Linked DNA regions of Pelodiscus sinensis. The protein of the gene in region 1 binds, or shares a complex with, the protein of each later gene. Links are inferred from orthologs where the notes say so. Each region holds a gene or a part of one and is shown on either strand. Other genes may lie near its edges.

Region 1 (7,312 bases):
CTCCCTAAGCCCCCTTGAGTACTCACTTAAACTCCAGGCATTTGGTGATCTCCTTCTGCAGATGCATCACCTCGTAGAGTAGGTTCTGGAGCTGCAGGTGATAGGCGTCTACCTTCTGCTTTGCCTGAAAGAACGTCAGCGGGGAGCATGAAAACCTCAGTGCAGATGAAGCCAAAAAGAAGAGCAACCAGGGATGGGAAATCCCAGTTAAAAGTCCACCAGTTCAATGGAACGTTTAACCGGCTAATCATGATCCCATGCAATGCGCAGGGGCTGCTGTGACGGGCCGGTCGCCCCGGGAAGCATGCCGGCAACACCACACCCCTCAGAGCAGATGGCAAGAGATCAAGGCTGCCAGCCAGAGAAGGCAGATTTTCGGGAATGGTGAAACCCAGGAGATTCAGGGACACTGGCTGGCACCCCACCCCCAGCCTGTGCACAATGGCCTTGTGGGGCGACCAGGAGGTGCCAGGTGAGAATCGAATCAAACTGGTGCCGCGTTTTCATTCATTGTGGCTATTACAGTGTCGGCAGCCGAGTTTCCCAGGAAGCCTCTGCTCCATAGACCTGTGGCTGGAACCCTGTGTGGACTCGGGTAGGCCCCTCCCAGCCAGGGGGCGGTCCTTTCAATCGCTGGCCTCACGGTACCTCATGGGTCTGATCTCGCCCCTTCTTCAGCCGAATATGAGCCAGACGGTTGAGTTTCTTCAGGGTCATGAAGTACATGCAGCTCTGGATCCGCCGCTCTTCGATGGCAGCTGCCTGAGAGGGGAGGAGGCAGCAGGTAAAGGAGCTGGGTCGCTGGCCACACAGACATGTATTCCCCCCCCCCCCCCACACACACACCCACTCTTCCTTAGCCCGGGAATCACCAAATCCCTCCTGGGCTCATTCTGGCTCCGGGGCCAGGTTCATGACATCCTTCTCTCGGGTTTAACCCTTTCAGCGACCAGAGCAGCCTGGCTATTATCAGGTGGCTCAACCCTGCGCTGGAGGCACAGAGTTTAGTCAATGGTGCACCCTCGTTTCCATCCTCTTAGGAGCAGTGATAGCTGCTAGCCCAATAGCCCGCGCTGAAGCTCTCCTTCCTGCTACAGAAAAGGCCCAGCGTGGGCAGCGGTGCCGCCAGCTTTCTGCAACAGAAAGCCTCCTGGGATGAGGCATACCTGGGAGGTCGACAAATGCCTTTGATGTCAACCCCCGCGCGTCCAGACTACCGCGCTGAGCCGACAAACAGCTGATCGACTCAGCACGGCAGCCATGTAAATTTAAATGAAGCGGCGATTATTTAAATTGCTGCTTCATTTTCCTATGCCTGGTAGTCTAATCTACATGCCTCTGTCGCCAGAGGCATGTAGTCTAGACGTACCCTAAGTCTCAGCGCTGATCTGACACGGCTGCCCCACGGCGGCAAGAGGGGAGTTCAAGCTCCATGCTCTTCGCTCATTACAGTCCACTTGCTATGGGAACACCTGCCGAACTAGACCCTGACTCGCTTCTCGCAGGCCCCCAAGCAAGCGCCAGGCAGGGGTAACCAATAACCTAGGCTGGATTCGCTCTCTGGGAGAAGGTCTCCTGTCCCCGCACCGCTCTCCTGAGCTATTCAGTCCTTACGTTTCATTGCTATTGCTGGGACCATTACAAACCCCTTCCCCGTTTGAGGACGCCATGTGGCTTTCAAACCCACTGCTTTCGCGCAGCAGCAGAAAGTGTTTGAAAGGGCTCGGGAGAAAAGCTCCTTCTTACGCTGTCTTTGCTGCCTTTGCTCTTCAGATCCTGGATTTCTGCCATGAGCCTCTGAAGCTCCTGGCAGGTTTGCTTGTACAGTTCATAGTCTTTGCTGGGATCTCGGAGTTCCACCTCCGCCTCCTCACTGTAATACTTCACATCCTGCAAAGAGCAGAAATACAGAGCGGCACTTAACACTGCAACAAACCCCCTGCTCGCCTCACTCCACCAGGGGCCTGCTTGTCTAGTGGGTTCACAGTAGCACTACAGTGTCCCCAGAGACCAGCATCAGGTCCCATCCCATATTGGTACTAGGCTGACAAGCAGGAGAGGAAAAAGAGCAGCGAGCAAAGTTCTTTCAATGAGCAGACAAGATGAAAGACAGGCTCCACCTACGCCCATTGCCCCTCAAGCTTTTCAGGGCTTCTAAAAACACCCCGAGAGCTTTGGGGGGCCAGTGCAAACTTGCAACAGTGATAAAATCACTCAGAGAGCATAAGATGCAACTCTGGTTCCCAGGGTCATAACCCTTCTTTGCTCGGGATGCTGGGGATCGGGCCTGGCATCTGGCTCACTGAAGCCAATGGTAATAACCTCATTGACTTGAGTACGAGCAGCGGAAAGCTAATCCCGGGTGCTTTTGAGATGCTCGCCCTTACAACAGAGCGGACGAACAGGGTGATGCTTTTGTGATGTCAAGAGCTTTCCGAACAAAGCACTGACGGCTTCGCCTCTGCACTCCTGCCAGCCCGACAGCATCTGATCCGCCGCAGGATTGCCACAGGCTGACAATCATTAGCCCACCTGATCAGGGTCCACCCTGCCCCGCTTGCTCTCCTGGGGGGCCCCGTCAGTGCGGATGACCTTGGGTTTCCTCTTCTTGCTCGAATCAGACGACATTCTTATTTCACGGGCTCTGGGACGGGAGAGCAGAAATAGCTGGTCTCCAAACGGGAGCCCCTCGAAGCCTCTGCAACAAATGGGAGCGACTGTCAGAGACCCCGTGCTGCCGTGGGAGGGGGCGACTCTGCCCTGCTTCCCCTCGGCACTGCGCCTCCTGCGCCGATCGATCGTCTCCCCTCCTCAAACCAACGTCACCCCCAGCGCAGAGGCTAGGAGGGGTCCCCTCCCGCGGTCCCCCCGCATCCCGGCCTCCCCGGCTCGGCCCCGAACCTCCCCCGCGCCCGGGAGAGGCCCCGGGACTCTGCCCTGCTCCCCACCAGGCCCGGCCCAGGGGCTCCCTGCCTCCCGGGGGCCTTGTCCCCGCAGCCTCCCCGGCCCCCCCCCCCGCCAACCCTCCTGCCCCGGCCCCCCCGCAGCCTCCCCTCCCCCCCCCGCCCCGGCCCCCCCCCGCAGCCTCCCCTCCCCCCCCCCGCCCCGGCCCCCCCCGCAGCCTCCCCGGCCCCCCCCACCAACCCTCCCTGCCCCGGCCCCCCCCCGCAACCTCCCCGGCCCCCCCCACCAACCCTCCCTGCCCCGGCCCCCCCCCCGCAACCTCCCCGGCCCCCCCCCGCCAACCGCCCTGCCCCGGCCCCCCCCGCAGCCTCCCCGGCCCCCCCCGCCAACCCCCCTGCCCCGGCCCCCCCCGCAGCCTCCCCGGCCCCCCCCCGCCAACCGCCCTCCCCCGGCCCCCCCCGCCCCGGCCCCCCCCGCAGCCTCCCCCGCCCCCCCCGCAACCTCCCCGGCCCCGGCCCCCCCCGCCAACCCCCGGCCCCCCCCGCAACCCGCCAAACGCCCCGGCAGCCCCAGGCCCCCCGCGCTCACCGGCCCGCCAGGCGCAGCGGAAATCCGGCGGCGGAGGAGACGAGCGCGGCCCGCGGGGCTAGAGCGTCCGGCGCCCAGCGCGCCCCCTGCCGGCCCGCCGCGGAGCTGCGAGGGGCGGGGCCGCAGGTCCCTCCACGCACCGGACACGCCCCCTACGCCTGGGGGCGGGGCCCGGGGCCGCTGTAGCCCTCCTCAGGGTGGTGTGGGCGGGGCCAGGCACTGCTGCACGTGGCGTTCCCAGCCGTGGCGGGAAGGGTGTCCCTTGTGGGGCTGACGCCACCCCCCTCAGGACAAGGAACCCCCCAGCTCCTGGAGGGAGCTACGGCGCTGGGACCCCCGACCCGGGCGCAGCGCTCAGCCCTGCCGGGGACTCGGCAAGGGCCCCCAGCCGTGCGCCCTGCGCCTGCCTACTCCTGGTCTAGCACGTGGACGGGTCTAAAATCAAACACGGGCCTGTGCAAGCCCCCCCCCGCTGCACGCAACAAGGACACTCAGGGTGCGTCTGCACAGCGCCCTGACCGCGAAATAAGCTCCCCAAATTGTGTGGCTGATTTGGAGGTTATTTCGAAATAGCCTGTGGCCAGAACGAGCACCGCGGAGGCCAGTATCTCTAATCGAGGCACATGGCGCTGGCCGGCAGGTCTAACGGACCTGGGGTGCGTAAGCAGTAGGACACCGTGCACGGCCTTCGCGCCGACATCTCGGTAGCTGCCTAGTCCTGGGGCCCAGGCTTCCGAAAGAACGTGGACACGTTGCAGAGGTGTCAGGCGAGAGCGAGAAGGAGGATCCGAGGTCAGGAGAGCCACCTCCCAATGGGAGATTAGAGACGCGCAGTCTGTGCGGCTTAGCCGAGAGAAGGTGAAGAGGGCAAGGTCTAGAACACCCTACTTGGGAAAGAGATTACTAAGTCGGGCAGCTTTAGGGTCTAGCAGACAAAGGCTCCGAGCAATCCAACGGCTGGAAGCCAAGGCTGAACAAACGAAAAGAAGAAACAAGGCACAGATTTTGTTTACTGTGCGGGTAATTAACCATTGGCACATTCTGTAGCCATGGAGCTAAAATGGAGCTTTATGCAAAGTCCTGGGCCTCGGTGTACTTTGCCAGCCACCCTCTCGAATGCAGAAAGGACCTTGACCTTACCGTTGGTAAAGGTGCACCAGCCAGAGCACTGTGTCCAGAGCTGGTTCCACCGCAGGAATAGAACCTGATGGACACGGTTCTGTTTTAGGCTTACAACAAACACCCTTCTTCAAATTGCAATGTAACGTCCTTGTTTGAATGTGCACACTGCTTCTCTACCAGAAACGCTGCTTCTCTGAACAACAATCAACCCTCTTTTCTAAAACTGAACAATGTGCACGTTAACAATGCACAGAAAAGCCAAATGCTCTGGAAAAAGCCAAACACAAATGGAAAAGCGCCAAAAATTGCTCCAGATCCCCTTCAAAATACAAGCAGCGAGCAAATCAACAGCTTGGAAAAAAACAAGCCCCTATCAATTAAAACAAAATATTTATAATCAAAACCAGCTAAAACAAAAAACCTCCCAAACCAACTACAAAAAACCAACTACAAATAACAAACACCCGTCAAAAAGCCCCAACAATTGAACAATGCAAAACCCACTAATCCCAATTCAAAAAAACAATGATAACAAAACCGTTCTGCTTGAAAAGGAAATCCGTCCTGCCATAACTAAAGCACTGATCCAAACCGATACAACCCTGCTCCTCCCATAATCAATCCACAAGCCATAAAGTAGTACACAGAACATAAAATAATAAAAGAACGTGTACACGGGGTGTGTCTGTCTATAACCCTTGTATGAGCATCTGCTAACCGCCGTGCCACTGCGTTCTCAATCAATGCGGCGCTTGGCCTTTTCTTCCGATACAAACCCTTTGTGCTTCTTATAAGCTAACAGCTTTACCACCTCTGACACCAGGGGTGGGCAATAATTTTTGCAGGGGGGCCAATCAATGAATGTGGTTTGCGGGCTGGCTCCACCCTCTGGAAGGGGCGGGGCCTGGGGTGCAAGGGGCGGGGCTGGGGACTAGCCTTCCCCCAGAGTTGTCCGGGGCCAGAGGCTTTGAATTCAACACACAGCAAAGGGCTTGTGGCTCCCGGCCGTGCCGCTATCGCGTTGCCTGGCAGCCGCCTCAGGTTGCTGCGGCTATTTAAAGGGCTCGCGGCTCCGGCCCCTTCCAGGGTAGCGCCGCGACTGGGAGCAGTGAGCCAGATCCAGCCATCTGAGCCACCGCTGGGAAATTCGGTGGCCTGGGCAGCCGGATCTAAATGGAAGGCGGCCATATGCCATCTGTGGGCCGGATCAAAGTGTTAGGCGGGCCGGATCCGGCCTCTGGGCCGCGTCTTGCCCAGCCCTGGCCTAAGGCCTTCGCCTGCAGCCAGATTGAAAGAGCGGCCACCACTAGCTGAGAGGCAGGAAACCACACCCTCATATCCCTGGAAACTGCATCCCAGGAGTGTCCCAGAGGCGGGCCCTGCTCCAGTGCCGCCAGTAGCACCAGGTGCAGACCCAGCTCTCAAGGTGACATTTCATCTGGCAAGAAACTCCTTGACAGGAGAGTGGGGAGCAAGACACGGGAAGCCGTTCTCCCGCTCGGCTCTGCGCTGATCAGGCCCCGCTGGAGTGCTGGGCCCCACATTTCAGAGCGAGGTGGAGAACTTGGAGAGGGTCCAGAGAAGGAGCTCCGAGGGCAGCCTGAAAGAACTGGGCTGGTTTCGTTTGGAAGGAGCAGACTGAGCGGGGCATGAGAGCGCTTTTCAAGTATCTCAAAGGGTGTCACGAGGAGGGGGAAATGGTGCTTGGCCTCTGAGGACAGGACAGGGAGCAAGGGGCTGAAGCTGCAGCGAGGGAGGTTGAGGTTGGACTTTCGGGAAAACGGCCAAGCACTGGGATACGTTGCCGAGGGAGGCTGCAGATACTGAAGGGCAGGCTGTCAGGGATGGGCTACACTGCCGGGAAGGCAGCGGACGGGACTCGATGCCTCTCGAATTCCCTTCCCGTTCTAGTGCGCTATGGCCCTTTGACACGAACCACGGGGAATCCTGGGGCCGCACAGACAGCGTGGAAGGTGCCCCCGCCCTGCTCCTTGTGGTTGCAGATACAGACTCCCCCGGGCAGCCCTCGGACGTCTCGGAGGTTGTGAACTCCTCGGTCGGATTCTCTCGCTGGGGTTCCCGTGTCCGATCTCTGCCTGTGTCCCCCAGAGGGCTCGAGTCTGACCGGCCCTCAAGCAAAGCGCGTGTCTCCCTAGAAGTGCGGCCCAGCTGACTAGCAGACACCCACAGCGAGGGGGCTTCCTACTGGTGGTGCACATTCCGGCGTGCATCAGTGCACATCACATTTATTCCACACATGCATGGGAACAATCTGCCCATGGCTGGGATCGATCGGAGGGCCCATTACCACAGAGCCGCAGAGAGAGGCTACGTCTGAGCCCTGGGAATGGCAGAGAATTGGATGCGGTACCAAGGGCCCTGCGCACCTCCGGCATCTCTTCCCCAGCCCGGCGCCCCTCCCGCACCTGGACCCCTCATGTCTGGCTGCACCCAGAGCCTTTCGCTGCTCCCCAAGGCCTAGTTTCTGGGCCCCCCCATCAGAGCCTTCCCTCCCCCTCCGCCCAACCCTTTGCCCCAGCGAGTGAGGGTGGGGGAGTGGAGCAGGGTCACTGGACACAGGGGTGTGGCAGTGACCTTACAGAGGGCGGGGGGCGGGACCACTGGACACGGGTGCAGCAGTGACCTCACAGGGGACAGGGTGGGATCACTGGACACAGGGGGGCAGTGACCTCACAGA
Region 2 (6,956 bases), on another chromosome or scaffold:
AGTCAGATAATCTACTAGAATTTCTCCATTACAATTTCTGTAATTCTCTCTGTGCCTCCATTTCTCCCATTTGTAAATTGCCTTAATCCCTCTGAGATAGGATTGCAAAGCACCTGTCTTGAACATACAGAGCTTGAGAAGAACAAAAGATATATTAATAGAGGGTCTGAATCTAGTCTGTGCTCCCCTTGAAAAGCGATTTACATCCTGCAGATTCTGAGCTGCTCTGGGGACTGGAACAAAAATGAAACTGCAGACATGTTAAGCAAAAGTAGCAGAAAAATGTAAATTGTTACTAGGGATTGTTACAGCTCTCCCTAGCACCAGCTCCTACTCTCCCTCCCCCTTGCTGCCACCTCTGATACAGAGGCAGCAAGGGTGGGGAGACAAACTACTCAACTAGTTTCTCCCCCAACCTTTGCTGCCTCTGTATCAGAGGTGGCAGCAAGGGGGATGGGGAGCAGGAGCCAGTTCTCCCCAGGACCATCACCATGTGAGGCAGAGGCACAGCGGGGGACCTGGCATGAGCAGGGACAGATGAGTCCCAGCTTGCACCCAGTCCCAGACCACTGTGGCTCTGCTTTTTAAATGCAGTAAGAGCCTGGCAGTCCCTCGCTCAGTCCCAACTTGCGCTGCCCCTGGAGCTAACCCCCTTATCAAGTAATTGAGTAGTCGATGGAAATTCCATCAGCTACTCGATTAGCTTACTAACTGCAATTTAACACCCCTAGTTGTTACTATAGAACTGTGATGTCCAAAAAGCTAGTGACTATTTGGCCACTTGAGTGTGGCTAGTTTACTATAGCAGTGTTTCCCAAATGGTGTTCCACGAAGTGAAAATAAGGGTTCCGCGAGAAAATTCCATTACAATAACATTTTGTGATTTTAAAAAAATATTTAAGCATTTATGAATTTTATTGAAAACAATTTTCATTTGTGTTTGCCAAGGTAAGTGTCCCTGTGTAATGCCAGCGTAGCCAGAGAGTGGGGACGACAATGTCACTACTCAGCGCTGCGCACACAGTCAGTACTGCAATCGCCTATTAAATACCACTGCAAACCGCTGTAAATATAATTCAGATTCGTTTTTTAGCTTTATTTTTTGTACACATTAAATGTGATTTTTGTTTTTAAATATGTGCAATTAAACAAAATGTTGATCTCATGACCTTGTTTAGCATTTGTTTATTATTACCCTTACTTATTTGAGGCCTACTTTTTCAGCTCCACATATAAGACTATTATTGGGATTCTGCAAAATTCTTTCGAGTTTATAAGGGTTCCATGGCCAAATCAAATTGGGAAACACTGCTCTATAGCATTAGCCAGTATAGGAGCTACTGCTTCAGAACTGGTTGGACACCATGGCTATAGAACAACCTCACTAAATCACACTTCTTAAGTATAATTACACCTCCTTACTCACCCCAAAATACCCAAGTTATGAAGAACTTCCAATTGCTACTTGCTACCATTAGCGTTATGGTAACAGTCAACTGAAAATTCTGAAGGCGCATAGAGGAGATAATGCCTAGTGCCAAGAATCTGGGAGTAATGACTGCTGGGTTTTGGAAGGAATGGGTTCCAGTTGTTAGCACAGGAAACTAGGAGCCAAGACTTCTTGAAGATAGATTCAGATGAAGATAGATTAATCTGTGCCAATGATTTACTGATGCCTTGGACAAGTCAGGATGTAGAATAGTGATAGAAGTGTAGCCATGTTAGTCTGTTGTAGCTGAAACAAAATACAGGACTACGTAGCACTTTAAAGACTAACAAGATGGTTTATTAGATGATGAGCTTTCGTGGGCCAGACCTACTTCCACTATTTGATCTGAGGAAGTGGGTCTGGCCCACGAAAGCTCATCATCTAATAAACCATCTTGTTAGTCTTTAAAGTGCTACACAGTCCTGTATTTTGGACAAGTCAGTTCCTCTGTTTATGATCTGTTCCCCTCCCCCGCCAAAAAAAAAGGAAGAAATAAAAATACCTGCGTCCCTGTCCGACTGTTTGCCAGAAATTAAGATAAAGGTCCCTCTGTCTGACACAGCAGTCATGTTACTGAAACCTTAGATGTTAGAGACAAAAGAGACAGACTATCCAGTCCATCTGCCTGGGCCCTAGTGAACTCTTTTCAGTATTGTCCCGAGGCTCATTTAAAAACTAAATACTGGCCGCCACTGCAATCCTTGCCAGACTATTTTACACGCCACAACCTTGCTCTGCAAGTTTCTTCCCCTGCAGCTTTGACAGGCCTATTCCGTGCAGCACACAGGCGTGGCGATGCTTCTTCCTGAGGTAGAGGATTGGGAAGGATGCGGAGAAAACCCAGAGGTGGATAGACACAGACCTGGCGTGCAAGGAGGCGTAAGTGAAGGGTCGTGGAGCAGTGGCGCTGCCAGGCGAGCGTGCAACAGCCAGCACCCCCTCGTGGCGGGGGGGGGCTCACCACGACACGCGCGCAGAGTGGAAATCCCATGCGCCCGGGGGGCGGAGGGGGGCGCAGTTCCCCGGGGTGGGGGGGGGGCCGCAGTTCCCCGGGGTGGGGGGGGCGGTGTCCTTGGAGGAAGCCGCATTGGAAGCGGGTGCCAGGCCCAGCAGGGTGCGAGCGTCTCGTGACCCCCCCCCCCGGACACGCGCCCCCCCCCCGGGACACGCGCCCGCCCGCGGGGGCTCGCAGCGCTCGGGGCCGGACGAGCCCGTAGCGGGCCTCAGGCCTCGGCCCACCCCGAGGGAGGGGGGAGCCGCCCGGCCCCGCAGGCGCCCAGAGGCGGGGGGAGCCCCGGGGCCAGGCCCCACCCGCCATGGGGACGGGGAGCCCGCGCGCCTCCCTCCGCTACCTTCAGCTTGTGCAGCTCCACGGTCTCCGCCGCCATCTTGCCGCCTCCCCTCAGCTCGCGGCGACCTGGCCCCGCCCACCCCGGACGGGCCGCCGCCCAATGGCAGCCGCTCTTCTTGACCAGGCGCCCCAAGCGCGACCCGCTCAAGAGCGCGCCTTGCCACTAGCCCAGCCACCTCCCCCTCCCCAGCCCGGTGGCTTCCTATTGGTTGCCTTGGAAGGAAGGGCGGGGCATAGAGGAGCGACAACCACGCAGGCCAATGAGCGCTTAGAAGGGAAAGGTGGGCAGCCAATAGAGGGCGGCTGTGGGGGTGGGCGCTGGCACTTCCTGGAGACGAGCTAGGGAAGGTTCAGCCACTGCCGACAGGTGAGTGAGGGATGGGAGCCCCTTAAGGGCGGGGAAACGGATGGGGGGGGGGGGGGCACCTATGTGGGGGAGGGGGACAGCATGTGGGGGGCGGGGCGGCCTGGGTGGGAAATCAGGGGCACGTGTAGGGGGACAAATAATCTGTGGGGTGAGGAGGAGGGGCACGTGTAGGCTGGGGCAGCCTGTGGGGGATGGGGAGGAGGAAAGGGGGCAGCCTGTGGGGGATGGGGAGGAGAAAAGGGGGCAGCCTGTGGGGGATGGGGGATGGGGAGGAGGAAAGGGGGCAGCCTGTGGGGGATGGGGGATGGGGAGGAGGAAAGGGGGCAGCCTGTGGGGGATGGGGAGGAGGAAAGGGGCAGCCTGTGGGGGATGGGGGATGGGGAGGAGGAAAGGGGGCAGCCTGTGGGGGATGGGGGATGGGGAGGAGGAAAGGGGGCAGCCTGTGGGGGATGGGGAGGAGGAAAGGGGGCAGCCTGTGGGGGATGGGGGATGGGGAGGAGGAAAGGGGGCAGCCTGTGGGGGATGGGGGATGGGGAGGAGGAAAGGGGGCAGCCTGTGGGGGATGGGGAGGAGGAAAGGGGGCAGCCTGTGGGGGATGGGGAGGAGGAAAGGGGGCAGCCTGTGGGGGATGGGGGATGGGGAGGAGAAGAAGGAGGGACTGTTCCCAGCCTTGCCATTGGCCTGCTTGGCATCCTTGAGCAAGTCATTTCCCCGCTCAGTGCCTCAGTTTCCCCTTTGGTAGAATGGAAGGCCTGATAGTGCCCTCCTTTGTGAAGAGCTTCTGGAGCCACTGATGAGACGTACTCTTGAGAGAGCTAGGTGGTACTGCTCTCCTAGGAGGAGTGATGAGGTGGGATAAGCCTGGCCGTGGTGTCCAACATGCTAGCCACTATCCACGTGTGGCTATTTGGCTGGTTGTGTGTGGCTAGTTGGCTATAGAACTAGTTGGATACCACAGTTACAAGGGCTGGGAAGAGGAGCCGTGGAGGAAGAGAAGGGGCAGTGGGTATGGGGAGGCTGCACAGCCATAACAAGGGGGAGAAATGAAGACCTGAATTACAGAGTAAAGCAGCTCTTAGGGTCTTGCAATTTCAGCTTTGCTTAAGAGACTTACAAAGTCACTAATGAGCTGTTTAATGGATTAGAGTGAGGGGTAAAGGGAAAGGAGGAAGCTGGGAGTCAGGATGCCAGGGTTCTGTTCCCCAGCTTTAGGCAGGAAGTAGGGGCTATATGAGGAGGCTACACCTGGGCCCCACTTCTAACTGTTGCTGCCTCAGTTTGTGGCCACCTGAGGGCTGTGATGATTCATGCATTAATATTTATAAAGAATTTGGGGGCACTGGCCTGGAAGATGTTACAGAAAGATAAGTATTAGGAACCTGGAATGCGCATATGCAAAAAGTCAGGATCCTAAGGAAGGACAACATCAGGCACGTCTTGGAATCAGAAAACATCATAGTCTTTGAGTAATGTTGACTGCACTTCCCCACCACTGTCTCTCTTTCTTCCAGAATGAATGTTGGGGTGGCCCACAGTGAGGTGAATCCCAACACCCGGGTGATGAACAGCCGTGGCATCTGGCTGGCCTACATGATCTCGGTGGGAGTTCTCCATGTGATTCTCCTCAGCATCCCATTCTTCAGCATTCCAGTGGTCTGGACCCTTACTAATGTTATACACAACCTGGTGAGTGAAAGCTCAGCTTCCCAGCGTGTCTTCCTGCACTGCTAGAAAGTAGGGATGTTAACATGTAGATGACTACAAGATGAACCGACAAGCTTGGGCTTATTGGTTAATCCTGTTGACTACGTGCATTGCCCTCCACCCCCTTGCTACCTCTGTATCAGAGGCAGCAAGTGGGGGGAGGTGAGAGCCGGTCTCCATGGGAAGCTGGTTTTTAAACCATCTCCCCACAAGCACCGGATCCACCTGCTCCACCACCCCCACACTTCTGCCTCTGATAGCGTGGAGGGGAAGCAGGCAGGAGCCAGCTTTTAAGTTGGCTTTGTGTGTGTGCCAGCTTTGCGAATCCATCTGCCTCTGCACCTTGCTGATTCCTTCAGAGGCAATGGGGGGGACAGGACAGGCAGGAGCCAGTGCTATGGGGAACCCACTTAAAAGCTGGCTCCCCCAAGCACTGGCTCCACAGGCCCCCTGCCCCTCTTTGCCCCCCCTGCTGCCTCTACAAAAGGAGAACTTGTCTCCCCAGCCAGACCTTTTCTAAAACTGAACATGCTGTTTGACTCTAGTCTTCTGTAACAATGAGTTCCATAGATCTGCTGCCCTCTAGCTTTGGGTCCTGTCCGCTCTTGCCCCACTTGTGTGCTAATGGTACAACAGCAGAAGGACTGCCACTCTCCTTACACCTTCCCTTCCTGTGGAAATTGCAGGTTATGTACTGGTTTCTTCACACTGTGAAAGGAACCCCGTTTGAGACACCGGACCAGGGCAAGGATCGCCTCCTCACACACTGGGAACAGATAGACTATGGGACGCAGTGCACCTCCTCCCGCAAATTCCTCAGCATCTCGCCGGTAGTCCTGTAAGTGTTTGTTCCTGCTGTGGCAGATCATCTGTAAAGCTCCGGGTGGCATTTCATTTTTGGGACCTGCCTATGGTAGGAGTGCTCCAAACCAGAGTGACAGCACCTAGGCATTCAGTGGGGTTACCTATATTTCCCCTCCTCTCCAGTATCCCTGTGTAGGCCAAGAAGACTCTACCTCACGAGGCAGGGCCCCAGCTTTAGCTGAGCAGGTATGACTGGCCCAGAGGAGAGGATGGGACCACTGTAGTCTGCATGAAGCCAAACTGAATCACTAGCCTATGCTGGGCTCTCTCCTATACAGGGAAAGCCACCTCGGCTATAGAGTACGTTGGTTGTTGGTGGAACTGGCCAGAGCCCCGTGGCTGCCCTCTGACTATTGCATCTAGAGGGTACAAGCTCTCTGGCCTGAAACAAACCAGTGGGTATCATAACAGTCCTTGGCTAGCTTGTGCACAGAGCACCCTGGCTGCTAGCAGCTGGCCCCTTGGCTGGCACCACCGAAGCACCCAGGGCAGTATGGGCTCTAGTGACTGGACTCTGGCCATGCAGGGGAAATGGTTCTGTGGCATGGGTAAGGTGCTTTGGCTGGGGAATCTTACATCACACCCCTCCCCCCCACCACTATAGGGAGGGTTTCAGTCTTCAGCTGCCAATCCAGCCTCAGAAATTGCTTTTGTGTGCTGTCACCCCAGGCAGGACTGGATGGCTGCAGAACTAACCCTGCCTCCGTCTCTCTTCCAGTTACCTCCTCACCAGCTTTTATACCAAATACGACCCTGCACATTTTCTAATCAACACGACCTCCCTCCTCAGCGTCCTCCTCCCCAAGCTGCCCCAGTTCCATGGCGTGCGTGTCTTTGGCATCAACAAATACTAAGGCTCAGCGAGCCAGCACTGCCCAGCCAGCTGCAAGGGAAGAGCGGGCCTGTTCCAATAGCCGTCTGCTCTGGCTACCAATGTCTGAGGGCAAAGGATTATCGAGCCCAGCATGAAGGTGCTGTCCTGAGCGTGAACTAGAGCAGGGGATCCAACCGAGGGACCAGGTGCTGTTTGAGCCACTTTGTGGGGATTATTTTGCAAGGGGGTTAAGTTACTCTCCCTAATAATCATCGGTACTTGGGCTTTATCTTTTGTTGGGGTGGGGAGAGGCAACTGAACTGTGAGGAGGGAGCAGGTCTAAACGTCATGTGAGTTAACTTGTCAG

The links. The genes of interacting proteins can lie anywhere in the genome.
Region 2: THOC5 (region 1) and SARNP share a complex: the UniProt entries of both Homo sapiens proteins name them as parts of the transcription/export (TREX) complex. The link is inferred for Pelodiscus sinensis from reciprocal best matches to the Homo sapiens genes THOC5 and SARNP.

The regions. Positions count from the first base shown.
Region 1 is NC_134725.1:5,322,213-5,329,524, reverse strand, and holds the start of THOC5 (THO complex subunit 5), read right to left. Parts: upstream 3,004-7,312; 5' UTR 2,629-3,003; coding exon 2,533-2,628; intron 1,891-2,532; coding exon 1,747-1,890; intron 763-1,746; coding exon 649-762; intron 125-648; coding exon 27-124; intron 1-26. UniProt on the Homo sapiens protein: Component of the THO subcomplex of the TREX complex which is thought to couple mRNA transcription, processing and nuclear export, and which specifically associates with spliced mRNA and not with unspliced pre-mRNA.
Region 2 is NC_134729.1:4,432,844-4,439,799, reverse strand, and holds the start of SARNP (SAP domain-containing ribonucleoprotein), read right to left. Parts: upstream 3,005-6,956; 5' UTR 2,878-3,004; coding exon 2,842-2,877; intron 1-2,841. Other genes in the region: ORMDL2 (ORM1-like protein 2), read left to right, coding at 4,720-4,893, 5,598-5,749, 6,494-6,629. UniProt on the Homo sapiens protein: Binds both single-stranded and double-stranded DNA with higher affinity for the single-stranded form. Specifically binds to scaffold/matrix attachment region DNA. Also binds single-stranded RNA. Enhances RNA unwinding activity of DDX39A.